Anolis sagrei: one gene and its partner. The protein of the gene in region 1 purifies or fractionates together with the protein of each later gene. This does not show direct contact. Links are inferred from orthologs where the notes say so. Each region holds a gene or a part of one and is shown in the gene's direction. Other genes may lie near its edges.

Region 1 (15,776 bases):
CTGGTGAAGGGAGTTAGATTGGATGGCCTTAAGTGTTTTCTGTTGGTCATGAGGGTTCAGTGTGGGAAGTTTGCCCCAATTCTGTAATTCGTGGTGTTCATTCAGAATGGTATTTGATTGGAGGTGAACTATAAATCCCAGTAACTACAGCTCCCAAATGCCAAGGTCTATTTCCCCCAAACCCCATCTGTGTTCATATTTGGGCATATATAATATTCGTGCCAAGTTTGGTCCAGATCCATCATTATTTGAGTCCACAGTGCCCTCTGGATGTAGGTGAACTACAACTCCCAAACTCAAGGTCAATGCCCACCAAACGCTGCTAGTATTTTTGTTGGTCATGGGAGTCCTGTGTGCCAAGGTTGGTTCAATTCCATCATTGTTGGAGTTCAGAATGCTCTTTGATTGTAGGTGAACTATAAATCCCAACAACTACAATTCCCAAATGACAAGATCATAATTTTTTGAGTGATGGCGTAGTGAGATGTTTTGTTGCCAAATTTGGTGTGATTTCGTTCATTGGTTCTTTTGTTTTTAAGGTACTCATTATGCAGAGCATTTTTATATATATAGAAAGATGGAGAAAATGATACTTTTATGCAAAGTTAAACGTAATGCAATAGATCTTAAAATGAGAAAAAGTGCCTTTCAACACAAAAGATATTGCAGAAACCTGATGGTGTGAGAGTTTCACTGCAATTTCCCTTCCTCTTGGCAGCGTCGGTGGAAAGCGGTACTTTGAGTGCCAGCCAAAATACGGGGCCTTTGTGAAGCCACAGCACGTGGTGGTGGGGGACTTCCCGGAAGAGGATTACGGCCTGGACGATGAGATGTGACAGGAAGGACGGGCGGAAACGGAAGCGGAGGAGAAGGCGGCTGCCGGCTCCGTTGTGGGACTTGTCCTGGTTGCTGCTGCGAAGCCCGGCTGCGTCCCGACGCCACCCGGGAGAATGTGGGGCCAGCCGGAGAGAGAAGATGCGGAAGCCACTTGTGTGTCCTTTTGACTCGTGTCGGTTGTTTTTTCCCCCCTTTTTCCCTAGTTGCCTCTTGTTTCATTCGGCAAAGGTGCCGCATCCCTTTGAGTGTGTCCTGATCCATACCAGTTCCGTAACATAGAGAATGTGAGCGTTGGCCTTGTAGTCGAAACCCTGAAGATGGAGAAGGGTTTTGTTTGTGGGTTTTTTTGTGTGCCAAGGGCCCTCGTTTCCGAAAGTGGCCCTTGAAGCGGATGGGGGTACGAAGCCTTTCCCTGCCCTTAAAAATATAACAATTCCAGACGGACATTTCCAACACCATGCCTTTTCTTTTCCCTTCTGTGATACTTTTGTGAGTGTGTGTGTTGTTGGCAGATGCTACGTGATGATTACAAATTAAAAATGTTTTGAATGGGGGGAGAAACATTCCAGACAAGAATTAATGTGTGGGAGAGTTTTATTTCATTTGACCTTCGGCATGCATTGTCCTAAAATTGGGGAGGGAGGTCACATTGCAGGCAGTCCCAGAGTTACAAACATCTACAAATGTTTGTAGATGCAGTGGGTTAAACCGTTGAGCTGCTGAACTTGATGATCAAAGGGTTGCAGGTTCGAATCCGAGGAGCAGCATGAGCTCCCACTGTTAGCTCTAGCTTTTGCCAACCTAGCAGTTCGAAAACACGCAAATGTGAGTAGATCAATAGGGACCGCTCTGGTGGGAAGGTAACGGCGCTCCATGCAGTCATGCTGGCCACATAACCTTGGAGGTATTTATTATTGTGTCAGGAGCAAGCAGACAGTTGTATTACATTTTTAACAAAACAAACAAACAGACAAAACACAAAGTTTGCAAGCTTGGTAGTTGATTAAATATCCTTTGACCAGTATCTGGCCACTTGGAGTGCCTCTGGTCAGGCATGTAGCCGGGGGGGGGGGGGGGGCTTGAGGGGCTTCAGCCCCCTCCGAAATTCTCATGGTGGTTCGCGAAAAGGACTTACTGGTGCATTATTTAAACTGTTATGTTTATTCATATCATGATCTGATCACCATACTCAATATATCCCATATGCATGGGGGTATTGGGGTAACGATACAAAAGGTTTGCTAGCGTAGACCCTCTTTCAGACTCAGCCCCCCCCCCCCCCGAAACAAACTCAGCCCCCCCCCCCCCCCCCCGAATCGAAATCCTGGCTACGAGCCTGCCTCTGGTGTTGCCGCAAGAAGGTCCTCCATTGTGCATGTGGCAGGGCTCAGGTTGCATTGCAGCAGGTGGTCAGTGGTTTGCTCTTCTCCGCACTCGCATGTCATGGATTCCACTTTGTAGCCCCATTTCTTGAGGTTGGCTCTGCATCTCGTGGTGACAGAGCGCACTCTGTTCAGCGCCTTCCAAGTCGCTCAGTCCTCTGTGTGCCCAGGGGGGAGTCTCTCATTTGGTATCAGCCATTGGTTGAGGTTCTGGGTTTGAGCCTGCCACTTTTGGACTCTAGCTTGCTGAGGTGTTCCAGAGAGTGCCTCTGTAGATCTTAGAAAACTATGTCTTGATTTAAGTCGTTGACGTGCTGGCTGATATCCAAACGGGATGAGCTGGAGATGTCTCTGTCTTGTCCTTTCACTATTGGCTGCTACTTCCCGGCGGATGTCAGGTGGTGCGATACCAGCTAGACCAGTGATTCTCAACCTGGGGTCCTCAGATGTTTTTGGCCTTCAACTCCCAGAAATCCTAACAGCTGGTAAACTGGCAGGGATTTCTGGGAGTTGTAGGCCAAAAACATCTGGGGACCCCAGGTTGAGGACCCCTGGGCTAGACAGTGTAATTTCTCCAGTGGTGGAGGGCGCAGACATCCCGTGATAATGCGGCATGTCTCATTAAGAGCCACATCTACTGTTTTAGCGTGGTGAGATGTGTTCCACTCTGGGCATGCGTACTCAGCAGCAGAGTAGCAAAGGGGAGATGTCTTCACTGTGTCTGGCTGTGATCTCCAGGTTGTGCCAGTCAGCTTTTGTATGATATTGTTTCTAGCACCCACTTTTTGTTTGATGTTCAGGCAGTGAAAGCTGAAGGGCACAGATAGCAAAACAAACACCACAGGCATGTAAACCCTTCCCTATGCCATCCAAAGGTTTTGGTTAAACCACTGAGTTGTGGAACTTGCTGACCAAAAGGCCGACGGTCCGAATCCAGGGAGCGGGTGAGCTCCCACTGTTGCCCCAGCTTCTGCCAACCTAGCAGTATGAAAACATAATAATAATATCAACACTTTATTTAACAACACTACCATCTCCCCAAGGGACTCAGTGCAGCTTACATGAGGCCGAGCCCGAACACACAATACAAGCAATAATCACAACAATATAAGCAATTAAAATAAAACATAAACATATAACATTATCAATAAGACAACATACAATTAAAACTATGGGAAGGCCAAATGTAAAATTAAAATTGTAAATAGTGCTGAACATGGACGAACAGGTGATAGTGGTGTTTGTGGAGAGACATATGGGCAGACCTAAAAAATGTAAAGTGCTTTAGCGGGACAAAGTGCTATGGGATCATTAATCCGGGAAGGCACACTGGAACAACCACGTCTTCAAACTCCTCCTGAAAACTGCCAGAGTTGGGGCCTGTCTGATGTCCTTAGGGAGTGAGTTCCAGAGTCGAGGGGCCACCACCGAAAAGGCCCTCTCATCCCCACCAATCGCGCCTGCGATGCTGGCGGGATCAAGAGCAGGGCCTCTCCAGATGAACAAAGATATTGTGTGGGTTCGTATACATGCAGATGTGAGTAGATCAATAGATGCCACTTCTGCGGGAAGGTAACAGGACCTCCAGATAGTCATGCTGGCCACATGACCTTGGAGGTGACTGTGGACAATGCTGGCTCTTCGACTTAGAAATGGAGATGAACACCAACCCCTAGAGTCGGACATGACTGGACTTAACAGCAAAGGGAAACCTTTACCTTTTAGATATGTGTGTGTGTGTACAGTGGGGGAAAAAGTATTTAGTCAGATAGGAATTGTACAAGTTCTCCCACTTAAAAATATGAGAGAGGCCTGTGATTGACATCTTAGGTAGACCTCAACTATGAGAGACAATATCTCATCTTTTTAAGTGGGAGAACTTGTACAATTCCTATCTAACTAAATACTCCCCCCCCCCCACTGTATGTATGTATGCATGCTAGAATATGCTGTTGCCTGGGAGTGTGTTGGATTGCCCTCTGGAGGTTTTTAAGCAGAGGCTGGATGGCCATCTGCTAGGAGGGATCAGATGGTATCTTCCTGCCTGGCAGAAAGGTGGCTTTTGTGGGTCCTTTCATGCTCTAGGTCTTCTATGATCCCATTTGGAACTGCCTTGGCTCAAAGCTATGGAATGATGGGAGTTGTAGTTTCCGACAGACCTCACAACTTTTGAGGATGCCTGCCGTAGAACTGGGCGAAAGGTCAGGAGAGAATGCTTCTGGAACATGGCTAGGCAGCCTGGAAAACTCACAGCAACCCAAAGTTGTTCATTATTATTATTATTATTATTATTACCCCAGGACCCCCTGAAATTATCTTAAAAGCCAACTTAAAAAGCCAAGGTAGTTCAAACTGCATTAATTCTATAGTTTAGGAGCCATAAAGCCTATCACATTATGTAAAGCCAATCTCCTATGTCCAGCAATATTGTGAGGACCACTCTCACAACCACCATGTCAGGCTACACAGAGAAACCATTGAATTCCACAAGTATGTGGACAATTTCAACAGAATGGAGGAAACCATGGAAATGAACAAAATCTGGCTACCAGTATTAAAAAAACTCTAAAATTAAAACAGCAAAACAACAGAGAGGAAACAATCAGGAACATTAATCACCTCTCAACAAAAGATTGCTCCAGGCACTGCCAGGCCATCAAATGCTAATCAAGGTGGTCAGTTGAGACATTCACACCCAGCTCCAGCAGACAAGAGTTCTTTGTCCCACTCTGGTCTTTCCACAGATATATAAACCCAATTTTCCTAGTTCCAACAGTCCTCACTACCTCTGAGGATGCTTGCCATAGATGCAGGCGAAATGTCAGGAGAGAATGCCTCTAGAACATGGCCATAGAGGCCGAAAAAATCTACAACAACCCATTGTTAGGACCGTCTAGGTGCCCTCAGGGTTTCTGTGCAGGAGAAGACAGATTTTGGCCTGCGTCAATAGGAGTCGAGTGTCCAGAACCAGGGAAGTCATGCTCTATTCTGCCTGGAATCACACTGCATCCAATTCTGGACACCACAATTGAAGGGAGATGTTGACAAAGCTGGAATGTGTCCAGAGGAGAGCGACTAAAATCATTTGGTGGAATCCTCCCACCAAAAACCCTCCTCCTCTGTGATTAGAACTGTTAACATTGTTGCATTATCAAATGCCTAGATGTCATCGGGGTTTGTGAAATTATTAGGCAGTTCACCCAAAATGCCTGAAGAAGAGAAGGCTGAGAGGAGACATGATGAGGGCCATGTATAAATATGTGAGGGGAAGTCATAGGGAGGAGGGAGCAAGCTTGTTTTCTGTTTCCCTGGAGACTAGGACACAATGGAACAATGGCTTCAAAATAGAGGAAAGGAGATTCCACCTGAACATGAGGAAGAACTTCCTGACTCTGAGAGTTGTTCAGCAGTGGAACTCTCTGCCCCGGAGTGTGGTGGAGGCTTTGAAACAGAGGCTGGATATGAGGCGAAGTCATAGGGAGGAGGGAGCAAGCTTGTTTTCTACTGCCCTAGAGACCTTGAAGTGACTGGACTGACCTTGAGGGAGCTGGGGGTGGTGACGGCCGACAGGGAGCTCTGGCGTGGGCTGGTCCATGAGGTCACGAAGAGTCGGAGACGAATGAAAGAATGAACAACAGAGACTAGGATGCAATGGAACAATGCCTTCAATGCCTTATGAGCCAACAATGTGATGTAGTGGCAAAAAAAGCCAATGGGATGTTGGCCTGCATCAAGAGGAGCATAGTGTCTAGATCCAGGGAAGTCCTGCTCCCCATGCTCGATTCCGCTTTGGTTAGACCACACCTGGAATATTGTGTCCAATTCTGGGCACCACAATTCAAGAGAGATGTTGACAAGCTGGAATGTGTCCAGAGGAGGGTGACTCAAATGGTCACGGATCTGGAGAACAAGCCCTATGAGGAGCGGCTTAAAGAGAGCTGGGCATGTTTAGACTTCAGAAGAGAAGGCTGAAAGGAGACATGATGAGGGCCATGGATCAAGATGTGAGAGGAAGTCATAGGGAGGAGGGAGGCCCTGGAGGCTAGGACACAATGGAACAATGTCTTCAAACTACACGAAAGGAGATTCCACCTGAACATTAGGAAGAACTTTGTGAGAGCTGTTCAACAGTGGAACTCTCTGCCCCGGAGTGTGGTGGAGGCTTTGAAACAGAGGCTGGATGGCCATCTGTCGGGGGTGCTTTGAACGCAATTGTCCTGCTAATCACCTCCTGACTCTGAGAGCTGTTCAGCAGTGGAACTCTCTGCCCCGGAGTGTGGTGGAGGCTTTGAAACAGAGGCTGGATGGCCATCTGTCGGGGGTGCTTTGAACGCAATTGTCCTGCTAATCACCTCTCAACACAAAGTTTGCTCCAGGCACTGCCAGGCAATCAAATGCTAATCAAGGTGGTCAGTTGAAACATTCACACCTAGCTCCAGCAGACAAGAGTCCTTTGTCCCACCCTGGTCTTTTCACAGATATATAAACCCATTTTCCTACTTCCAATACACCTCTGAGGATGCTTGCCATAGATGCAGGCGAAATGTCAGGAGAAAATGCCTCTAGAACATGGCCATATAGCCCGGAAAAACCTACAACAACCCAATTGTCCTGCTTCTTGGCAGAATGGGATTGGACTCTTCCAACTCTAGGATTCTATGATTCCAAATAGGCGGGGCCTCCAAGCCTACACGTGCTTTGAATGGGCGGAGCGACAAGAGTTGGGGAACGCCCCCTCTAGGGCCAGGGAGCCAATGGGAAGCGCGCAGGAGGCTCAGATGGCGCGCCAAGGTTTCTGCAATGGCGGGCTTGGGCCTGCCTAGGAGCTGAAATCCGGAAGAGAGAAGGAGTGAGCGAGAAGGGAGCCCGGTGGGAAGGGCAGGAGGGGGTCCCAAAGGGGGCCAGCCTGGGTGGGAGTCCGGCAAAGAGAAGGGACGGGCAGGACCAGCTCTGGGACTGGTGGGGTTGCCATGAGGTTGCATGATGGACCTGCCCTTGACCCCTTTCCCCCTAAATCCTGAAGGCCAGCCAATATGGATTTACTACATCCCTGGGCTATTATTATTATTATTATTAGGCTGCTATTAAAATAGTAGAAGGGCTACTAATTAGTATTATTAGGCTAGTATTAGCATAATAAAAGTTATTATTATTAGGCCTCTATTAAAATAATAGGAGGGCTACTAATTATTATTCTTAGGCTAGTATTAACATAATAAAAGAGTTATTATTATTATTAGGCTGGTATTAACATAAAAGGATTATTATTATTATTAGGCTGCTATTAAAATTAAAGTGATAAAAGAGCTTCTATTATTATTACAGAGATGCTAATACTACTTATTATTATTGTAGGACTGGTATTCAATTAATAAAAGGGCTATTATATTATTATTACTATTATTGGGTTGCTATTAAAATAATAAAGAGACTTATTGTTATTATTATTATTATTATTATAGGGCTGCTATTAAAATAATGAAAGAGCTTCTATTGTTATTATAGGGCTGCTATTACTTATTGTAGGGCGGATATTCAAATAATAAAAGGGCTATTATATTATTATTGGAGATACAAAGTGATTCGCAACATTAAAAACAACAACAATGCATTGTCGAAGGCTTTCATGGCTGGAATCACTAGGTTCTTGTGGGTTTTTTTCGGGCTATAGAGGCATGTTCTAGAGGCATTCTCTCCTGACGTTTCGCCTGCATCTATGGCAAGCATCCTCAGAGGTTGTGAGGTCTGTTGGAAGTAGGAAAAATGGGTTATATATCTGTGGAATGGCTGGGGTGGGGCAAGGAGCTCTTTCCTACTGCAGTTAGGTGTGAATGTTTAGCTGATCACCTTCATTAGCATTTGAAGGCCTGCCTGAGCCTGGGAAAATCCGTTGCTGGGAGGTGTTAATCTGTGCCTGGTTTTTTCCTCTCTGTTGTTTAGCACCTCCCAGCAACGGATTTTCCCAGGCTCAGGCAGGCCTTCAAATGCTAATGAAGGTGATCAGCTAAACATTCACACCTAACTGCAGCAGGGAAGAGCTCCTTGCCCCACCCCAGCCATTCCACAGATATATAACCCATTTTTCCTACTTCCAACAGACCTCACAACCTCTGACGATGCTTGCCATAGATGCAGGCGAAACGTCAGGAGAAATGCCTCTAGAACATGGCTCTATAGCCCGAAAAGACCCACAAGAACCTAACAACAATGCAATTTGAGATCTCCAAAACGTATTAAAAGTAGAACGACACATACAGGTTGGCCTATTTAATTCCCCTCACTCTTATCCTGACACTTTGTCTTTGTTCCTCAGGCTTTGCTTACCTGGAGCACTCCATCCTTGCAACTGGGAGGAGCTGCTCCATGGGCCGCCACAGTAAGCTCCAGAGGCAGGTGCTGTCCTTGTACCGCAGCTTCCTTCGGGCCGGGAAAGGCAAGCCGGGCTTCCTGCCGCAGATCCGAGCCGAGTTCCGGCAGAACGCACAGATCCCACGGACAGAGGTCCTGCTCGTAGAGTACCTTCTCCGCCGTGGACAGAGGCAGCTGGAGCAGCTCCAGAACACCCATACCAAGCAGATGGGGGCCTTCGTCAAAACCAGGGAGGAGGGAGACAGATGACACCAGAGACGGGTGATGATGAAGCCTGCTGGGATTTTCTCGATCGTCCACACTTTTTTAATGAGCTGCTGGAGTTGTTGTGTCAGCTCAGGTCCACCACCTTTAAAGATTTCAACAGGGATCCCATCAGGTCCGCTGACTTTGTTATTTTTCAGGTGATTGAATGGAGGAATAACGGGCAACTCGCTCTCTGCAGAACCCATGAAGAAACAATGTTTGAGCTGCTGGAGTTGTTGTGAAGGCTCAGGTCCACCACCTTTAAAGATCTCAACAGGGATCCCATCAGGTCCGTTGACTTTGTTATTTTTCAGATGATTGAATGGAGGAATAACTGGCAACTCGCTATCTGCAGAACCCGTGAAGAAACAATGATTGAGCTGCTGGAGGTGTTGTGTCAGCTCAGGTCTACCACCTTTAAAGATTTCAACAGGGATCCCATCAGGTCCGCTGACTTTGTGTTTTTCAGTTAACTGAATGGAGGAATAACTGGCACCTTACTATCTGCAGAATCTCGTGGAGAAACAATGATTTGGTTCCGTTTCTTTAATCCTTCCAAGGTCATAAGAGAACCCCGAGCAGACCTTGGATGCATCTCTACACTGTAGAATGAATGACGTTTGGTACCACGTTAGCTGCTATAGAAATAATTTGATCTGTAGTTTGCATTCTTTGTAAAACTGCAACTCCCAGGGCTTTCATTGCCTTGCCGTGGCAGTTAAAAAGGTGTTAAACTGCATTCAGTCTGCAGTGTAGATGTTAAGCTGCTTTAAACCAGTTCCATGAATGCATCCTTTTGCATAATAATAATAATAATAATAATAATAATAATTCCTAGACACTTGGGAAGTGTCCAACGTGTGATCCAATACAATAGCCAGCAGAGTGTCTGCTGTGGACTCATCTTGTTGTGTTTCTAAAATAATAATAATAATAATAATAATAATAATAATAATAATAATAATGATAATAATAATGATAATAATAATAATAATAATAGAGAAGCCAATAAAAAATAGAAATTACATTGGCCAATGCACATTTTATGTTTCCAATGTTAGCCCTGTTTCTGGGTTTATTTAACCTTCTGATTCCATTATTATTATTATTATTATTATTATTATTATTATTTGAAACACAACAAGATTAGTATACAACAAACAAGATCACTCTGCTGGTTGTTGTATTAGATCACACGTCGGACATATTATTATTATTGTTATTATTATTATTATTTGAAACACAACAAGATGAGTCCACAGCAGACAGGATCACTCCTGGCTGTTGTATTGGATCACATGTCGGACACTTCCCAAGTGTCTAGGACTGTGTAATGTATCAGCGAATAATGCATGCAGATCCACGTAGGGTGGCCTTTTGCAGCTGGAAGATGGTAATCTTGTCAGCGCCGATTGTATTTAAGTGCAGGCCAAGGTCTTTAGGCACTGCACCCAGTGTGCTGATCACCACTGGGACTACCTTGACTGGCTTGTGCCAGAGTCTTTACAGTTCGATCTTTAAATCCTCATATTGTGTCAGCTTTTCCAATAATAATAATAATAATAATAATGTTGTCTATATGTTCAGTCGTTTCCAACTCTTCATGACCTCATGGACCTGCCCACGCCAGAGCTCCCTGTCGGCCGTCACCACCCCCAGCTCCTTCAAGGTCAATCCAGTCACTTCAAGGATGTCATCCATCCATTAATTATAATAATAATAAAAGTAATAGTAGTAGTAGTAATAGTTCTGGAGCACAATACTCCTGACCTCACAATCGTAATAAAAAACAAAGTATGGATTGTCAATGTCGCAATCCCAGGTGACAGCAGGATTGAAGAGAAACAACTGGAAAAGCTGACACGATACAAGGATTTAAAGATCAAACTGCAAAGACTCTGGCACAAGCCAGTCAAGGGGGTCCCAGTGGTGATTGGCACACTGGATGCAGTGCTTCAAGACATTGGCCTGCACTTAAACACAATCGGCGCTAAGAAAGTTACCATCTGTCAGCTGCAAAAGGCCACCTTACTGGGATCTGCATGCATTATTTGCCGATACATCACACAGTCCTAGACACATGGGAAGTGTCCAACGTGTGATCCAATACAACAGCCAGCGGAGTGTCTGCTGTGGACTCATCTTGTTGTGTTTCTAATAATAATAATAATAATAATTATTATTATTATTATTATTATTATTAAACTTATTATTATTAAAGACCATTACATGATAGGCTAACCAGATTATTATAATTGTTATTATTATTGAAGAACTCCATGAGATGCTGTTCTGAGCACTGACAGTTTAGGCGTTCTGTGTGTTATTTCCTTTTCTCACTCCGCCGAATGTGTTTGTTTCAAAGCAATCCTTTGGCTGCAAGGGACAAGAATTAAATTGCCAAAGAAAAGGCGTTTCGTTGCATGATCCGTGTCTTTATTGACTCCTCCTTCTGGAACAATGAAAGGTAACATTGCAACACATATAAAACACGCCTTCGAGGCATTGGTTGCATTCCTGTTTACTTTTTTTCCTGGGAAGTCAACACAATGGCGTTCTGTGATACCTTCAGGCCTTGGGGTGAAACCTGCATTTTCCTTGGAAGCAACTTGAACGTGTTTGGGTTCAAGTCCAAACAAAAACAATGCATGCAACATATTCAGCTGTTTTGAGTCTCGTGATAAATGTGGGACATGAATAACAACAAAATTAACATAACTGTCCCAATCACTTTGAAGGGAATTATTTATTGGGGTGATACCTTCTGCTGTCAAGAATTCAATGACTGCACGTTGTTTAAGTCGCATTGACCAACCATCACACTTTTAACAACACAACCGTTCGATGCTAAGGTTTCCCGCCAAAATGGAACTGTATAGGAGAGTCTATTGAACAAGCCAGTACCTGCCACATAGATAGATAGCCCTCAATGGGTGTCTGTGCCCCTGTCCCTGTGATAATTGAATTTTGGAAAATTTGGCTTGTAGTGAAAACAATAATTGTTGTGTTTTTTTTTTGGTATCAGGAGCGACTTGAGAAACTGCAAGTCGTTTCTGGTGTGAGAGAATTGGCCGTCTGCAAGGACGTTGCCCAGGGGACGCCCGGATGATTTGATGTTTTTATCATCCTTGTGGCCTCTCTCATGTCCCCGTATGAGGAGCTGGAGCTGATAGAGGGAGCTCATCCGCCTCTCCCCAAATTCGAACCTGCGACCTGTCGGTCTTCAGTCCTGCCGGCACAGGGGTTTAACCCACTGCCACCTGAGGCTCCTCACAATAATTGGTGAGAAAGCTTCAGTGGAGATACCTTTCCTCCATGATAACTCTTCCAGGAGTGAATTTCCCTGGCCTTGTTAGTAATTGTGGATTATATGGCAGCGTAGTCATATCATCCAGTTGAAAGTAGCGAATGTGGATTATCTACCTTGATAATCTGGATTATGTAGCAGTGTAGAAGGGCCCCCAGCCAAACTGCTTAAAGCCTGACCTGGAATCACGTTCATGGCATCCTACCAACCCTCCACCTACACCTTTAATGGTATTGATATCATTCCAAGTATTGATAGTGATCAGTACCTGGAAGTCATTGAAAACTTCGATTTCTATATGCATCGGAGTGATCTGCAATTGTTTGTTAATTGGAAACACTTCAAAACAAAGCCATCAATCAGTCCAGACAAGATAAGCCAAGATGGATAGCTAACAAGGTCGTGTTGTGCCATTCCATGATAAGCTACTGTTTTCTAACAAGTGGTTTTCCCATGCACCCTAACACCCGTTATACATATCCAGGCCGTCCCTGAGTTACAAATATCTAACTTGCAAACGACTCCTAGTTAAGAACAGGGGTGAGACAATAGGAAGTGAGGGGAATCTCCCCCTCGGAAGGGGAATCCACCCCTGGAAGAGTCATTATGAGGGGGAAAGAGGTCTCCACTGAAGTTTTCTCGCCAATCCTTGTTTCCACTATAAGCCATTTTTCTAAAATCTACTAGAGGTACAGTGGACAGATGAGAGGAACTATGAGATCTACTGGGATCACTTGGTCCTGGATCACACGTGACCTGGTAGTGTAGTCCAACGGGCAAAGGGACAGACGACGTGGCTGCAGAAGCCTTCTACACGGCCATATAATCCAAGTCAACTGCTTTGGACTGGATTGTATGGCAGTGTAGACACGTCATCCAGTTCAAAGCAAAGAATATTGATTATCTATCTTGATAATCTGGATTTTATGGCAGTGTAGAAAGGACCCCAGCGAAACTGCTTGAAGCCTGAGCTGAAATCACATTCATGGCACCTGACCAAGCTTCCTCCCCTACCTTTATTGATATTGATATCATTAAATGATATTGATATAATTCCAAGTATTGGTAGTGATCAATATCTGGAAGTAGCTGAAATCTGCAACTCCCACATGCATCGGAACGCCCTGCAATTGTTTGTTCAATGGAAACACTTCAAAGCATAGGCCAACAATCAGTCTAGACAAGATAGACCTATAGGAAATCGATATAAATAAAAATGTAATGTTCGTTTGTGGGATTAACAGAACTCAAAAAACACTGGACGAATTGACACCAAATTTGGACACAAGACACCTAAACAACCCAATGTATGTCCTTCACTCAAAAAAAATTGATTTTGTCATTTGGGAGTTGTAGTTGCTGGGATTTATAGTTCACCTACAATCAAAGAGCATTGTGAACCCCACCAACGATGGAATTGAACCAAACTTGGCACACAGTTCTCCCATGACCGATAGAAAATACTGGAAGGGTTTGGTGGGCAGTGTCCTTTGGTTTTGGAGTTGTAGTTCACCTACATCAGAGATCACTGTGGACTCAAACAATGATGGATCCGGACCAAACTCTACACGAATACTCAATATGCCCAAATGTGAACACTGGTGGAGTTTGGGGGAAATAGAATCTTGACATTTGGGAGTTGTAGTTGCTGGGATTTATAGTTCACCTACAATCACAGAGCATTCTGCACCCCACCAATGATAGAATTGGGCCAAACCTCCCACACAGAACCCCCATGAGGGCCACAGCAACACGTGGCAGGGGACAGCTAGTTATATTAAAAATCCTAAACTCTGTGTATGTCTAGACCATGTATCCATTGTCAGGTCCAAGGCAACCTTCACTATTATCCTTACCTGTTGCAGTGTATCATGGGTTATCGGGAAAAGCCTGCTTCCATAGGAAGGTTTTAACCTGTGCACGGAGGGCCAGTAGAGAAGGGGCCAATCACACCTCCTTGGAGAGGGAGTTCCAGAACCGCGGGGCCACCACCGAGAAGGACCTCTCTCTTGTACTCCCCAACCATGCTTGTGACAGCAACGGGACGAGAGAAGGACCTCTATCAATTATCTCAGGGCTCATGTAAGCTGGTAGGAGGAGATGCGATTTCTCAAGTATACAATTCCAAAGTGCTGGTAGTCAAAGCCAAACCCCATGTTGAGACGGAATAAATCCCTTATTGAGTAAGGTAGATGCAGCCATACGTAAAATGAAGCCAGATAAATGCCCAGTTCCCTTGAGAAAAGGATTCGGGAATATGGTGAGTTTTCAAGGGAAAACAGATTAGACCTGAGAACGCAGGGAGTGAAAAGCCGGCAAACTAGACATTCTCAAAGGATCCGAGATAAGACCCTGAAGTCCAGATGCATCAGGCATGATGTCATTAGAGGACTTAAATTAAGTGGTTTGGTTTCAGGCCTTTCAGAGGAGACAACGTTGCTATAGGGTTTCAGTCTCCTGTTCATGATTCCAAGTTCGTGGTTCCTGTACTGTCAAGATCCCTGCTTCATGTTCCTGTTTTAAACCTATGTTTCTTTGGAGAATTTACCTTGGAGAAGTTCCTGTTTTCATGTTCATGGATACATCTTTGGAGTGATTCTGTGTTTTTGGATTTCTTTGGCGTTGTGTTCTATCCTGGCATTTTTGGAATACTGCTACTGCTTCTTTTGAGAACTACATTTTATATCTGTACTGACTTTGGTAGATTTGTCCCTTTTCCCCTTTTTATATTATTTCTTTAATAAACATTCTTATATTGGATCACTGGACTCTGGTGTGGTGCTGCGTGAAAGGACGGAATGAGAATAGATACTTGCCATCTTACCTAAAGATTGGACAACGTCTGAAACCATACGTCTAATGAAGAATGGGGACACACAAAACCTTATCAACTTTCATCCTATTACATTCCTCTCTCAGCTATATAAACTGTTCACAAGGATTCTGCTACAAAGAATATCTCAAGATGTGGAAATCAACAGGGAACAAGAAGGCTTCAGGCGTGGCTACTCTACCCTCAATCATTACTTATTTACTTAGGTGATCCCTCATAGTCCAAGGATGATGGTCCTCTAAGAGTGGTATCCTGGGGGTGGATCTGTAGGTGACTGTGGAGCCCTATTCTTGATCTGCATCATCTCCCGCAGTGAGGGAAGGCGGTCCCGGTCGGGGTTGGCTTGACGTGCCTTCCTCTTAGCATGTTTCTGTCTTTCACTCTCCATTCGTGCCTCTTCAAATTCTGCAGCACTGCTGGTCACAGCTGACCGCCAACTGGACCGCTCAAAGACCAGGGCTTCCCAGTTCTCAGTGTTTATTCCAGAATTTTTAAGGTTGGCTTTGAGCCCATTTTTAAATCTCTTTTCCTGCCCACCAACATTCTGTTTTCCGTTCTTGAGTTCGGAATAGAGCAACTGCTTTGGGTGACGGTGGTCGGGCATCCGGACAACGTGGTCGGTCCAGCGGAGTTGATGCCAGAGGACCATTGCTTCAACGCTGCTGGTCTTTGCTTCTTCCAGCATGCTGACGTTTGTCCGCTTGTCTTCCTAAGAGATTTGCAGGATTTTCCGGAGGCAGCACTGATGGAATCGTTCCAGGAGTTGCATGTGACATCTGTAGACTGTCCATGTCTCGCAGGC
Region 2 (15,821 bases), on another chromosome or scaffold:
ATTAAAATATATTAATATAAATTTATATTTATTTGTGGAGGGAAAATAATATATTTAAAAGGTTAAATATTTATAACATATTAATTGTGGAAGAGAAATAATATATTTTCATATTGCAGATTTATAACAATGATATAGTATGTCATAAATATGCCTTAAAATATATTAATATAATTTGATATTTATTTGTGGAGGGAACATAATGTATTTTTAATATTGCAGATTTACAACATATTATATTTATTTGTGGAGGCAAAATATTTAATATTGCATATTTACAACATATTATATTTATTTGTGGAGGCAAAATATTTAATATTGCATATTTACAACATATTATATTTATATTATATTTATTTATATATATGTGTGTGTGTATATATATATATATATATATGGTAGACAAATAATACAATATTTTTGGTAGCTTCACCTAACGAAAGCGGGTTCCACGAGGGTTTCAGGAGGCTTCCGGGCGCGGGGGATTCTGCACACAGCACACGCCGGTTCCGGATCCATCGGTTCTGGAAAGAGCCGCTTGTTTACCCGGTAGCGGAAGACGCCTAGAACCGAAATACATGGGGAGGAAAAGTCAAGTCATTCAATGATGGTCAGTAGAACTCTAGATCCCATTTTCAGAACACAATCATACATTGATGGGACGTGGGATCCGTGTCGCGACTCGAGGTCTCGAAGCTCTCCAACCTGCAGAGAGGAAAGAGGGAGGTAAACAAACAAACAAACAACAGGGCTTCGAGATTTTGGGTCTTTCCCTTGTCTGTTGTTCACTACTGTCAGCCCAAGTTTGAGTCCGACATTCAAAACAGATCAAGAAAAATGGCTTGTTCAATTTTGGACTGAAATCCGGAGTGGATCCGGGGCGCTCACCACGAGTCCCGGTCGCCGAGGCAGTCCTTCCGGTTCACCTGCCGGAACTCCTGGAGTTCGGAGAAGTACTGATCCGGTTTCTCCGTGACGGAAGAATCCATATCAAGGAGTCCTAGAGAGCGTAAGGGAGGAGACCATCATCCCCAAAGGAGAGGGAGACGTAGGAAGAGGCAGATCATACATTAAAAATAATTAAACAATATTATTATTACTACTAGTAGTAGTAAAAGTAGTAGTATCCATGCTTTGGTAGTAATAGAAATATTATGTATTATTATTATTATGGAGATGTAGGAAGAGGCGGATCATACATTAAAAATAATTAAACAATATTATTATTACTACTAGCAGTAGTAAAAGTAGTAGTATCCATGCTTTGGTAGTAATAGAAATATTATGTATTATTATTATTATTATTATTATGGAGACGTAGGAAGAGGCGGATCATACATTAAAAATAATTTAAAAATATTATTATTACTAGTAGTAGTAGTAAAAGTAGTAGTATCCATGCTTCGGTAGTAATAGAAATATTATGTATTATTATTATTATTATTATTATGGAGACGTAGGAAGAGGCGGATCATACATTAAAAATAATTTAAAAATATTATTATTACTAGTAGTAGTAGTAGTAGAAGTAGTAGTAGTATCCATGCTTTGGTAGTAATAGAAATATTATGTATTATTATTATTATTATGGAGACGTAGGAAGAGGCGGATCATACATTAAAAATAATTTTAAAATTTTATTATTACTACTAATAGTAGTAAAAGTAGTAGTATCCATGCTTCGGTAGTAATAGAAATATTATGTATTATTATGTATTATTATTATTATTATTATTATTATGGAGACGTAGGAAGAGGCGGATCATACATTAAAAATAATTTAAAAATATTATTATTACTACTACTAGTAGTAAAAGTAGTAGTATCCATGCTTCGGTAGTAATAGAAATATTATGTATTATTATGTATTATTATTATTATTATTATTATGGAGACGTAGGAAGAGGCGGATCATACATTAAAAATAATTTAAAAATATTATTACTACTACTAGTAGTAGTAAAAGTAGTAGTATCCATGCTTTGATAGAAATATTATGTATTATTATTATTATTATGGAGATGTAGGAAGAGGCGGATCATACATTAAAAATAATTTTAAAATATTATTATTACTACTACTACTAGTAGTAAAAGTAGTAGTATCCATGCTTTGATAGAAATATTATGTATTATTATTATTATTATGGAGACGTAGGAAGAGGCGGATCATACATTAAAAATAATTTAAAAATATTATTATTACTACTAGTAGTAGTAAAAGTAGTAGTAGCCATGCTTTGATAGAAATATTATGTATTATTATTATTATGGAGACGTAGGAAGAGGCGGATCATACATTAAAAATAATTTAAAAATATTATTACTACTACTAATAGTAGTAAAAGTAGTAGGAGTATCCATGCTTTGGTAGTAATAGAAATATTATGTATTATTATTATTATTATGGAGACGTAGGAAGAGGCGGATCATACATTAAAATAATTTAAAAATATTATTACTACTAGTAGTAGTAAAAGTAGTAGTATCCATGCTTTGATAGAAATATTATGTATTATTATTATTATTATTATTATGGAGACGTAGGAAGAGGCGGATCATACATTAAAAATAATTTAAAAATATTATTATTATTATTAGTAGTAGTAGAAGTAGTAGTAGTATCCATGCTTCAGTAGTAATAGAATTATTATTATCTATCTATTATTATTATTTTCCCAAGGTGACCCAGACATGACCTCCCACCTGACCTGCGATCCAGTCGTATCCGAGGAAAGGCCGGGTGGACCTTACTCCTAGGGGGGTCGCATGTTCTTCCGGGTCGGACACAAAGGTCACGCGAGGGGCTTCATTCTAGGAAAGGAAAAGGATGCTTCTGAATGGCGGGGTCCTATAAACGTACCCCGGAGGACCCAGGAAATGCCTAGAGGCGCACCTTCGGCTTCTCTTTCTGATGCGGCGTCAGCAGGATGGGCTTGGGCGCCGGCGGCATCTGAACTCTCGCCCTCGGGCGCCTTTCCTCGACCGCCACTTCCTCCTCTTTCCTGAGGCAGATATTTTCCACTTCCTGGGAAGGTCCGGAAGCTTCCGACGACGGCACCCAAACTATAGATTGTGGACACCGGTCTCGGCTCTCCTTCTGGCAACAAAAGCAAAACCATTATTGGACTGGATGACCTCTGAAGGTGCCTTCCAACCTGATGATCCTCTAGGACTAGATGACCTTCAGAGGCACCTTCCAGTTCTATGATTGGACTAGATGACCTTTGTGGGTCCCTTCTAATTCTACGATTGGACTAGATGACCTTTAGAGTTGCCTTCTATATCTATGACTGGACTCGATGACATTTGGGGTCCCTTCCATGTCCAGACTAGATGACCTTCAGAGGTCCCTTCCAGTTCTATGATTGGACTAGATGACCTTTGTGGGTCCCTTCTAATTCTACAATCAGACTAGATGACCTTTGTGGGTTGCCTTCTATGTCTATGACTGGACTAGATGACCTTTGGGGTCCCTCCCATCTCTATGTTTAGACTAGATGACCTTTGGGGTTCCCTTCCAACCCTATGATTGGACTATATGATGTTTGGAGATCCCTACCGTCTCTAGAATTGGACTAGATGACCTTCAGGTTCCCTTCCAACCCCATGATTGGACTAGATGACTTTTGGGGTCACTTTCATCTCTGTACTCAGAGTAAATGACCTTTGGAGGGGGGGGGTCCAATCCATCTCTGTGATCAGACTAGATGACCTTTGGAGATCCCTTCCATCTCTATGATTGAACTAGATAGCCATTGAGGCCCCTTTCAACCCTACAATTGGACTATATGACCATTGGGGTTCCCTTCCACGCTGTAATCAGACTAGATGATCTTTGGGGTCCCCTTCCATGATCAAACTAGATGATCTTTGGGGTCACTTCTATCTGTATGACTGGACTAGATGACCTTTGGAGATCCCTACCATCTCTAGAATTGGACAAGATGGCCTTCAGGTTCCCTTATAACCCCATGATTGGACTAGATGACCTTTACAGGTCCCTTCCATCTCTAAGATAGGGCTAGATGACTTTTGGGGTCCCTTCCAACCCCAAGATTGGACTAGATGAGTTTTGGGGTCACTTTCATCTCTGTACTCAGAGTAGATGACCTTTGGGGGTCCCTTCCAGCCCTACAATTTGACTAGATGACCATTGGGGTTCCCTTCCACTGCTGTAATCAGACTAGATGATCTTTGGGGTCACCTTCCACCTCTATGATCGGACTAGATGACCTTAGGGGTCCCTTCCAACGCTATGATCGGACTAGATGATCTTTGGAGGTCCCATCTCTACGATTGGACTAGATGAGCCTTGGGGACCCTTCCAACCCTATGATCGGACTGGAGGACCTTTGGGGTCCCCTTCCTATCATACCTCCTTCTGCAGGGTTGTGGACGATGGGACTCGCTTCCCTAAGGCTTCTTGGTTCGCTTTCAGCTTCTGCAAGAGATCCTGGTTCAAGAGGCGAAGCTTCTCCAAGTCCATCTTCCGGCTTCCAGAAATAGTAAGATTATTATTATTATTATTATTATTATTATTGATTAAGTAAGTTGGTTACTATTATCTATATTTATATATATATCTATCTATCTATATAATAAAAGTCAAAGTTTGTATGCGGAGGACAAAAGTGTGGTGGGAGGAGTATGTGCCAGCGTTCTGATTGGCTGCCGCTGTGGTGCTATTTGCATATGGTCTCTGATTGGCCAGCTTCAATAGGAGCCCCTGGTGGAGAAAAGAAACGGGGACATGAGAAGGAAATTTGCATATGGTCTCTGATTGGCCAGCCCCAATTCCAAGATTCCGAGATGACAAAGAGAGGGGCGGAGTCAGAAAATTACCACTACAGACCAAACTTGGCACACAGAGCCCGCAAGACCCACTCGACATCCTACTGCAGTTTGGAGGAGGATGAACCATGGATGATGGGACTTGCAGTCCCATCACTCACATTCTGAGACCGCTGTTAACCTCATCCAATGACTGATCAGGACCAAACTTGGCACATAGACCTCTCATGACCCACTTTACGTCCCGGTGTGGTTTGGTGGACCATGGATTATGGGACTTGCAGTACCTTTGCTCAATTCCTGAGACCACTGCAACCCTCATCCAATTACCGATAAAGACCAAACTTGGCACACTGAGTCTCCATGACACACTCTACATCCTGGTGCAGTTTAAAGGAGGATGCACCATGGACGATGGGAGTTGCAATACCTGCACTCCCTTCCTAAGACCATTACAACTGCCAACAATGATGGATCAGGACCACAATTTACACAGAGAACCCGCATGACCCACTCTACATCCTGGCGCGGTTTGGAAGAATTTGACAATGGATGATGGGACTTGCAGTCACTTCACTCACTTCCTGAGACCACTGAGATCCTCGCCAATGACTGATCAAGACCAAACTTGGCACATAGTGTCCCCATGACCCACTCTACATCCTGGTGCACTTTCAAGGAGGACAGACCATGGATGATAGGACTTCAAGTACCTCCACTCCCTTCCCAAGACTGCTGCAACCCTCATCTAATGTCCGATCAAATCCAAACTTGGCACACAGAGCCCCCATGACCCACTCTACATCCCACTGCGGTTTGGAGTAGGGCATACCATGGATGATGGGACTTGAAGTCCCTTCACTCACATTCTGAGACCTCTGCAAACCTCATCCAATGACTGATCAAGACCAAACTTGGCACATAGACCTCTCATGACGCACTTTATGTCCTGGTGTCATTTGGAAAAAAATGGAGATGGATGATGGGATTTGCAGTAACCTCACTCATTTTCTGAGACCCTCGCCAATGACTAATCAAGACCAAACTTGGCACACACTTTTGAGGAGGACAGACCATGGATGATGGAACTTCAAGTACCTCCACTCACTTCCCAAGGATACTATAACCCTCATTAATGACCGATCAAGACCAAACTTGGCACACAGAACCCCAATGACCCACTGTACACCCTAGTGCAGTTTGGAGGACAGACCATGGATGATGGGACTTAAAGTACCTCCACTCCACTGCAACCCACATCTAATGACCGATCAAGACCAAACTTGGCACACAGAACCCCAATGACCCACTGTACACCCTGGTGCAGTTTGGAGGACAGACCATGGATGATGGGACTTAAAGTACCTCCACTCCACTGCAACCCACATCTAATGACCGATCAAGACCAAACTTGGCACACACAGCCCCCATGACCCACCCTGCATCCCGGTGCTGTTTGAAGGATGGACGATGGATGATGGGACTTGCAGTACCTTCACTCACTTCCTGAAACCACAACAACCCTCATCCAAATACCAATAAAGACCAAACTTGACACAGAGAGCCCCCATGCCCAACTCAACATTCTGGTGAGGTTTGGGGGAAAACAGACTATGGATGATGGGACTTTAAGTACCTTAACTCACTTTCTGAGACCACTTTGACCCTCATCCAATGACTGATCAAGACCAAACTTGGCACACAGAGTCCCCATGACCCACTCTATATCCTGGTGCAGTTTGGAGGAGGATGGACAATGGATGATGGGACTCGCTGTACCTTCACTAACTTCCTGAGACCACTGTGAGCCATATAAATAACTGATAAAGACCAACCCGGGTCCCCAAGCTATATATAAATTAGACACACAGCAACATAAAACAAATGGATATTTAAATTAAATATATTTGTGCCTGTACATATAATAGTTGGAAGAGTGGAATAGGAATATAAATAGCAATAAGGAGTGTTTCAATGCAAACCTGAAAGCACAACAGAAGCCCAGGACTTGAACGTTGGTTTCCCTGTGACGTAAGCAACGCCTCGCGCCCTGATTGGCTAGTTCCCGCCTGAGGTTTCCTTTTCACATTCCACGCCTCTTAAAGGGGCCGCAACCTCTTTCCTTGCCCACGTGGGGTGCCTTATAGGACAATATGGTAGTAATGGAAATAGAATAATATCTACACCATAACATAACTAATGTTATTAATCATTAATAACATTCAGGTCTCGGCGGTGACCAGGGGAGCATTTGCACAGCTAAAGCTTGTGCGCCAGCTGCGCCCGTACCTTGGGAAGTCTGACTTGGCCACGGTAGTCCACGCTCTGGTTACATCCCGTTTAGACTACTGCAACGCTCTCTACGTGGGGTTGCCTTTGAAGACAGCTCGGAAGCTCCAACTAGTCCAACGCTCGGCAGCCATGATTTTAACAGGAGCGGAGCACAGGGAGCATACAACCCCCCTGTTGCGCCAACTCCACTGGCTACCGATCTGCTACCGGGCTGAATTCAAAGTGCTGGCGTTGGCCTTTAAAGCCCTAAACGGTTCCGGCCCAAGCTACCTATCTGACCGCATCTCTGCCTATGAACCCACCAGGACTTTGAGATCTTCCGGGGAGACCCTGCTCTCGATCCCACCTGCTTCTCAAGCTCGGCTGGCGGGGACGAGAGATAGGGCCTTCTCGGTGGTGGCTCCTCGGCTGTGGAACGCCCTTCCTACGGACATTAGACTAGCACCATCTCTAATGGTATTCCGCAAAAAGGTGAAGACCTGGATGTTTGTGCAGGCGTTTGAGTAATTTAGTGCAATCTGGTAATGGAACATAGGAATGGAACAATGGACGACGAATCTGGACTACACTTGGATGATGAGAAGATTGGGTACGGTTGTTTTTTGTAATAATTGTGCATTGTAATTGCTTATTGGTAATTTATGGATAATGTGTTAAGTCAATTGTTATATGTTGTATGGAACCACTGCTGTTTCTACTGTTTTTACTGTTTGTGAACCGCCGTGAGTCACCAATATTATTAATAGCATTATTAATAAATAGAATATACTAATATTATTAATATTTATATTTTATTTATTTACTTTGCTTATATACCGCTGTATCTCAAGCCCGAAGGCGACTCACAATAACATTACTAATAAATATAATATACTAATATTATTAATATTTATATTATACCAATATTATTAATAACATTATTAATAACTATAATATACTAATATATTAATAGTATTAATACTTATATTATATTAATATAATTGATAATATTTATAAATATATATACTAATATTATTGTTAATATTAAATATCATATACTGATGTTATTATTGATAATTCTTCTTCTTCTTCTTCTTCTTCTTCTGTTCTTCTGTAATAATACTATTTTTAATAATACATATAATATACTAATATTATTATACTGCTATAATATAATACTAATATGATTAATACTAATATTATTGTTAATATTAATAATAAATATAATATACTGATGTTATTATTGATAATAAATATAATGTAATAATACTATTATTAATAATACATATAATATACTAATATTATTATAATATAACATTAATATGATTAATAATATTAAATTTTTCCTACTATTATAGAACAAAAGTACTAATAGTGTTAAGAGCATAATGATAATATCTATCTATCTATCTATATATATTATCATTTAATATAATAATATATAATATATAATTATATATAATATAATAATATGATAATACTTTTTGTTATTATTTCTCTTTTTGGGGGGGCTGGACTGGATGACCTTTGGGATTCCCTCCCTAGAGAAGCCTGGGAGCGAAGGGAGGGAGAACCCAAGATGGCCGCCAGCTGAGGCTTCTTGCCCCTTCCCAAGATGGCCGCCGGCTGAAGTTCAATATAGCTGCGGACTGAGAAGGGCCCTTCCCAAGATGGCCGCCGGCTGAAGTTCAATATAGCTGCGGACTGAGAAGGGCCCTTCCCAAGATGGACGCCGGCTGAAGTTCAATATAGCTGCGGACTGAGAAGGGCCCTTCCCAAGATGGCCGCCGGCTGAAGTTCAATATAGCTGCGGACTGAGAAGGGCCCTTCCCAAGATGGCCGCCGGCTGAAGTTCAATACAGCTGCGGACTGAGAAGTGCCCTTCCCAAGATGGCCGCCGGCTGAAGTTCAATATAGCTGCGGACTGAGAAGGGCCCTACCCAAGATGGCCGCCGGCTGAAGTTCTATATAGTTGCGGACTGAGGAACGGCCCTTTCCAAGATGGCCGCCTTTTCTAGGACGCGTGCTCCCTTTTTCTCCTTCCCCGCCCTTACCGGAAGTGGTTACCACGGACCCTTCCGGAGAGAAGGAAAGGACAAGATGGCGGCGGTGACCGCGGCGGTGAGGGCGAGCGCGGCGACGGCGGCGCGGATCAAGCGGTTCGCGGTGTACCGGTGGGACCCGGACAAGCGCGGAGAGAAGCCCCGGATGCAGACCTACGAGGTTGACCTCAACAAGTGAGTCCTCGCAGCGGGAGGGCCCGAAAAGAGGCGCGCACCGCCTGACTCCCTGACCAACTTGAGTGCTTTGAGTAGGCCTTGAGTTGTCATATGCGTCTTCCGGGCTGCTTGACCCTCTCCTGACGTTTCCCCCAGGCAGGAAGCAGCCAGGCTTTGAAGCTGCGAGGCCATTCAGCGCCAATCAAGCTGGCCAGTGAGCTATTCTTGCTTATTACAAGACAAACTGAAATTATACAATTATACATTATTAAATTAAATTATTAAATTAATTTAAATTATTAAATTATACAAACTGAAATTAAATCCAGACAAGACAGAGGTACTCCTGGTCAGTCGCAAGGCCGAACAGGGCATAGGGTTACAGCCTGTGTTGGATGGGGTCGCACTCCCCTTGAAGGCGCAGGTTCGCAGCTTGGGTGTGATCCTGGATTCATCGTTGAGCCTGGATCCCCAGGTTTCAGCGGTGACCAGGGGAGCATTTGCACAGCTTAGGCTCGTGCGCCAGCTGCGCCCGTACCTTGGGAAGTCTGACTTGGCCACGGTGGTGCACGCTCTGGTCACATCCTGCCTCGACTACTGCAACGCTCTCTACGTGGGGCTGCCCTTGAAGACGGCCCGGAAGCTTCAGCTAGTCCAGCGCGCGGCAGCCATGTTACTAACTGGAGCGGGACGCAGGGAGCATACAACGCCCTTGTTGTTCCAGCTCCACTGGCTGCCGATCTGCTACCGGGCCCAATTTAAGGTGCTGGTGTTATCCTACAAAGCCCTAAACGGTTCCGGCCCAAAATACCTTTCGGACCGCATCTCGGCCTATGAGCCCACGAGGACTTTGAGATCGTCTGGGGAGGCCCTTCTCTCGATCCCGCCTGCTTCACAGGCACGTCTGGCGGGGACGAGAGAGAGGGCCTTCTCGGTGGTGGCCCCCCGGCTGTGGAACACCCTCCCTGTTGACATCAGACAGGCGCCCTCCCTTATGTCCTTCCTTAAGAGCCTGAAGACATGGCTATTCGAGAAGGCATTTAACTGAGTGCTACAGTAACTGGAATGACAACTGGAACGGTATATGGACTACGAGATTGGTTATGATTCCACGATAAGATGGAGCGGATTATTTTTAGTATAATTAGATGATTGTGCGTTAGTGATATGTTGGTTTTTTGTCGTCTTGGCTTTATTGTAAATTGTCTTTTATATGTTGTACACCGCCGTGAGTCACCCTAGGGCTGAGAACGGCGGTTAATAAATGCAGCAAATAAATAAATAAATAAATAAATAAATATTTATTTACTGTGCTTATAGACTGCTGTTCTCAGCCCAGGGGCAACTCAAATTGAAATTGAATCCAGACAAGACAGAGGTCCTACTGGTCAGTCGTAAGGCCGAACAGGGAATAGGGTTACAGCCTGTGTTAGACGGGGTTACACTCCCCCTGAAGACGCAGGTTCGCAGCTTGGGAGTGATCCTGGACTCATCGCTGAGCCTGGAACCCCAGGTCTCGGCGGTGGCCGGGAGAGCTTTTGCACAATTAAAACTTGTGCGCCAGCTGCGCCCGTACCTTGGGAAGTCGGATCTGGCCACGGTGGTCCACGCTCTTGTCACATCCCGGTTGGATTACTGCAACGCACTCTACGTGGGGTTGCCTTTGAAGACTGCTCGGAAACTACAACTAGTCCAGTGAGAAGCAACCAGATTGCTCACCGGAGCGACGTACAGGGAGCACACCACCCCCCTGTTACATCAGTTCCACGGGCTGCCGATCCAATTCCGAGCATAATTCAAAGTGCTGGTTTTAACCTACAAAACCCTATATGGTTCCGGCCCAGTGTATTTGTCCGAACGGATCTCCCTCTACATCCCATCTCGAAATTTAAGATCATCCGGGGAGGCCCTGCTCTCGACTCCGCCACTGTCACAAGTGAGGTTGGCGGGGACGAGGAGCAGGGCCTTCTCAGTGGTGGCCCCTCACCTGTGGAACTCACTCCCCGGGGAAATTAGATCAGCGACCTCCCTTCAGACGTTCAGGAAAAAACTGAAGACCTGGATATGGGACCAAGCTTTTGGACATGCTGGCAGCTAAAGGAAGATCCGACGACAAACATGGACGAATTGAATGGAATGGATACACGGAACTCTGAACACTGAGCATGAGATTGTTTTGCTATTTTATTATGTACTAATGTTTTTAACCTGTTAACTGTCTAAATTGTTGTACGTATTGTTTGCTTATTGATTCAGGCATCGAATTGTGCCGTTGTTTGTAAGCCGCCCTGAGTCCCCCCTCGGGGGTGAGAAAGGCGGGGTATAAGTAATTGAAATAAATAAATATCAAAACCATCGTCATCAACAACATCAAAAATCTCAATATCAGTAATACAAAACTACAAAAAGCCATTCGCGTCGTCTCATCGTTAAACCACAATCCAGTATCGTTTTCCGTTGTTCCATTCCTGTCGTCATTACCAAATTATTGCACTTCTTGTTCGAACGCCTTCTCGAACAGCCAAGTCTTTAGTTTCTTGCGGAATGTCATCAGGGAGGGCGCCAGTCTGATTTCCGCGGGAAGGGTGTTCCACAGCTGAGGAGCCACCACCAAGAAGGCCCTGTCTCTCGTCCCCGCCAGGCATGCCTGTGAGGCAGGCGGGATCGAGAGCAGGGCTTCCCCGGACGATCTCAAAGTCCTGGTGGGCTCATAGGCCGAGATGCGGTCAGATAGGTATCTTGGGCCGGAACCGTTTAGGGCAGGGGTCAGGAACCTTCGGCCCTCCAGGTGTGGTGGACTTCAACTCCCACAATTCCTTGGGCCAAGGTAAGCCTTTGGGGCGAATGCCGAGCCTCAAGGAATTGTGGGAGTTGAAGTCCACCACACCTGGAGGGCCGAAGGTTCCCCATGCCTGGTTTAGGGCTTTATAGGCCAACGCCAGCACCTTGAATTGAGCCCGGTAGCAAATCGGCAGCCAGTGGAGCTGGAACAACAAGGGCGTTGTATGCTCCCTGCGTCCCGCTCCTGTTAGTAACATGGCTGCTGCACGCTTATTCAATTTGCTTATGCAATGGATGACGAATCTGGAACATGTTTTTGATGACAAGACGACAGTGAATGGGTTGTGTAATGTGTTAGGTTGTTAACTGTTTCTATACCGTAGCACTAAATTTTTGCTGTTCGTATTTGTTGTGAACCGCTGTGAGTCGCCTTCGGGCTGAGAACAGCGGTATATAAGTAAGGTAAATAAATAAATAAAATAAATATTATGTTGTCGCTTGCTGTAAGCCGCCCCGAGTTCCCTTTGGGTGGGCAGTGGGAGATCAATAACGCTGTATTATTACTATTATTGTTATTATTATGACTGTTGTTATTCTTGCTTTCCCGGCAGATGCGGCCCGATGGTGCTGGACGCCCTGATCAAGATCAAGAACGAAATAGACCCCACGCTCACCTTCCGGCGCTCCTGCAGGGAAGGTCGCGATCGCCCTTGAGTAGCAGTAGCAGTATTATTATTATTATTATTATTATTATTGGCCAGTCTGTGGTCCTATGTTGTTGCTGTTGTTGTTATTACATGGCTGTAATTATCCAATAGTTTTATTATGACTTTGATCTATATTCCAGTATTATTATTATTATTATTATTATTATTATTATTGGTCTATTGATGATCCTATACTATTATTATTATTATTATTGGTCAGTCTGTGGTATTATTATTATTATTATTATTATTATTATTATTATTATTGGTCTGCCTATGATCCTATGTTATTACTATTGTTGTTGGTCTGTCTATGGTCCTATAGTATTATTATTATTATTATTATTATTATTATTATTATTATTATTGGTCTGCCCATGACCATATATAATTATTGTTGTTGGTCTGTCTATGGTCCTATAGTATTATTATTATTACTATTATTACTATTATTATTATTGGTCTACCTATGATCCATCATCATCATCATCATCATTGTTGTTGTTGTTGTTATTGGTCTGCCTATAATCCTATATTACTATTGTTGTTGTTGGTCTGTCTATGGTCCTATATTATTATTATTATTATTATTATTGGTCTGCCCATGACCATATATAATTATTGTTGTTGTTGGTCTGTCTATGGTCCTATAGTATTATTATTATTACTATTATTATTATTACTATTATTGGTCTACCTATGATCCATCATCATCATCATCATCGTTGTTGTTGTTGTTGTTGTTGTTGTTATTGGTCTGCCTATGATCCTATAATATTATTGTTGTTGTTGGTCTGTCTATGGTCCTATATTATTATTATTATTATTATTATTATTATTATTATTATTACTAATATAGGACCATACTACTACTACTACATGGCTGTGATGATCCTATAGTATTATTATTATTATACTTATCTATGCTCTATTATTATTATTATTATTATTATTACATGGCTGTAATTATCCAATAGTATTATTATGACATTGATCTATATTCCAGCATCATCATTATGAATATTATTAATATTGGTCTATCAGTGATCCTATATTATTATTATTATTATTGGTCAGTCTGTGGTACAATATTATTATTATTATTACTACTACTACTACTACATGGTTGTGATGATCCTATACTATTATTAATATATTGATCTATGCTCTATTGTTATTATTTTTATTTTTATTATTGACCAGTCTGTGGTCCTATGTTGTTGTTGTTGTTGTTACATGACTGTAATCATCCAATTGTATTATTATTATTATATTGATCTATGTTCCAGCATCATCATCATGATCATCATCATTATTATTGGTCTATCGATGATCCTATACTGTTATTATTATTGGTCAGTCTGTGATACTATATTATTATTATTATTGTTATTATTATTACTACATGACTGTGATGATCCTATAGTACTACTGATAGAGAGAGCTCATCCTCCTCTCCCCGGATTCGAACCTGCAACCTATCTAACAACAACAACAACAACAACAACAACAACAACAACAATGGATCATAGGTAGACCAATAATAATAATAATAATAATAATAATATAGGACCATAGACAGACCAACAACAACAATAATAACATAGGATCATAGGCAGACCAATAACAACAACAACAATGATGATGATGATGGATCATAGGTAGACCAATAATAATAATAATAATAATAATAATACTATAGGACCATAGACAGACCAACAACAATAATAATTATATATGGTCATGGGCAGACCAATAATAATAATAATAATAATAATAATAATAATAATAATAATATAGGACCATAGACAGACCAACAACAATAGTAATAACATAGGATCATGGGCAGACCAATAATAATAATAATAATAATAATAATAATAATAATAATGGATCACAGGTAGACCAATAATAATATAGGACCATAGACAGACCAACAACAATAATAATACTATAGGATCATGGACAGACCAGTAATAATAATAATAATAACAACAACAATAATAATGATGGATCATAGGTAGACCAATAATAATAATAATAATATGAGACCATAGACAGACCAACAACAACAACAATAATATATGATCATGGGCAGACCAATAATAATAACAACAACAACAACAACAATGATGATGGATCCTAGGTAGACCAATAATAATAATAATATAGGACCATATACAGACCAACAACAATAATAATATAGGATCATGGGCAGACCAATAATAATAATAATAATAATAATAATAATAATAATGGATCATAGGTAGACCAATTATTATTATTATTGGTTTGTCTACCTACCTCAGGGGGTTGAGAAGGGCAGAGTACAAATATACAAAATATAAATAAATAAATAAATAAATAAAGGAACAGGTCCCAACTCAGGCCAATTGGGCCGTGTGGACAGGAAGGGTCCGACCTGGCTGAGCGCCCTCTCCTTCTTCCCTGCAGGGATCTGCGGCTCCTGTGCCATGAACATCGGAGGCGGGAACACCCTGGCCTGCACTAAGCGCATCGACACCGACCTCGGACGCACCACCAAGATCTACCCGCTGCCCCACATGTTTGTGGTCAAGGACCTCGTTCCCGTGAGTGGCAAGCAGGCCTGAGGAATCGTCGGGATGGGGGCAGAGGGGAAGGGTCTCGCTCTCGGGGCCTTCAGGGTCAAGCACGCATCCCTTGACGGGCGCCCCTCTTCCTCCCTCTCAGGACCTGAGCAACTTCTATGCCCAGTACAAGGCCATCCAGCCCTTCCTGAAGAAGAAGGACGAGTCCCGCCAAGGCCAGGAGCAGTACCTCCAGTCCATCGAGGACCGGGAAAAGCTGGTCAGCTCCTGCCTCCCTCCTCCATCCCCACGCCTTTCTGGGGCCCCACACGGAGCCCCCACTGCGCCAAGGGAGGCCCCAGGCTCAGCTCTTCTCCTCCTCCCTTCTCTCCCTCCCTGCAGGACGGCCTGTACGAATGCATCCTCTGCGCCTGTTGCAGCACCAGTTGCCCCAGTTACTGGTGGAACGGGGACAAGTACTTAGGCCCCGCTGTTCTCATG

What was found.
Region 2: the proteins of SDHAF1 (region 1) and SDHB purify together in Homo sapiens (co-immunoprecipitation; 3 studies listed by BioGRID and IntAct, with this or other methods). This does not show direct contact. The link is inferred for Anolis sagrei from reciprocal best matches to the Homo sapiens genes SDHAF1 and SDHB.

What each region holds. Positions count from the first base shown.
Region 1 is NC_090035.1:77,670,433-77,686,208, reverse strand, and holds SDHAF1 (succinate dehydrogenase assembly factor 1, mitochondrial), read left to right. Parts: upstream 1-6,957; 5' UTR 6,958-7,068; intron 7,069-8,532; 5' UTR 8,533-8,582; coding exon 8,583-8,837; 3' UTR 8,838-10,719; downstream 10,720-15,776. Other genes in the region: tubulin-folding cofactor B, read left to right, coding at 719-836.
Region 2 is NC_090033.1:7,877,663-7,893,483, reverse strand, and holds the start of SDHB (succinate dehydrogenase [ubiquinone] iron-sulfur subunit, mitochondrial), read left to right. Parts: upstream 1-9,130; 5' UTR 9,131-9,164; coding exon 9,165-9,301; intron 9,302-12,675; coding exon 12,676-12,761; intron 12,762-15,225; coding exon 15,226-15,362; intron 15,363-15,483; coding exon 15,484-15,600; intron 15,601-15,722; coding exon 15,723-15,821. Other genes in the region: MIIP (migration and invasion-inhibitory protein), read right to left, coding at 434-563, 653-705, 889-1,000, 2,711-2,813, 2,896-3,099, 4,378-4,488. UniProt on the Homo sapiens protein: Iron-sulfur protein (IP) subunit of the succinate dehydrogenase complex (mitochondrial respiratory chain complex II), responsible for transferring electrons from succinate to ubiquinone (coenzyme Q).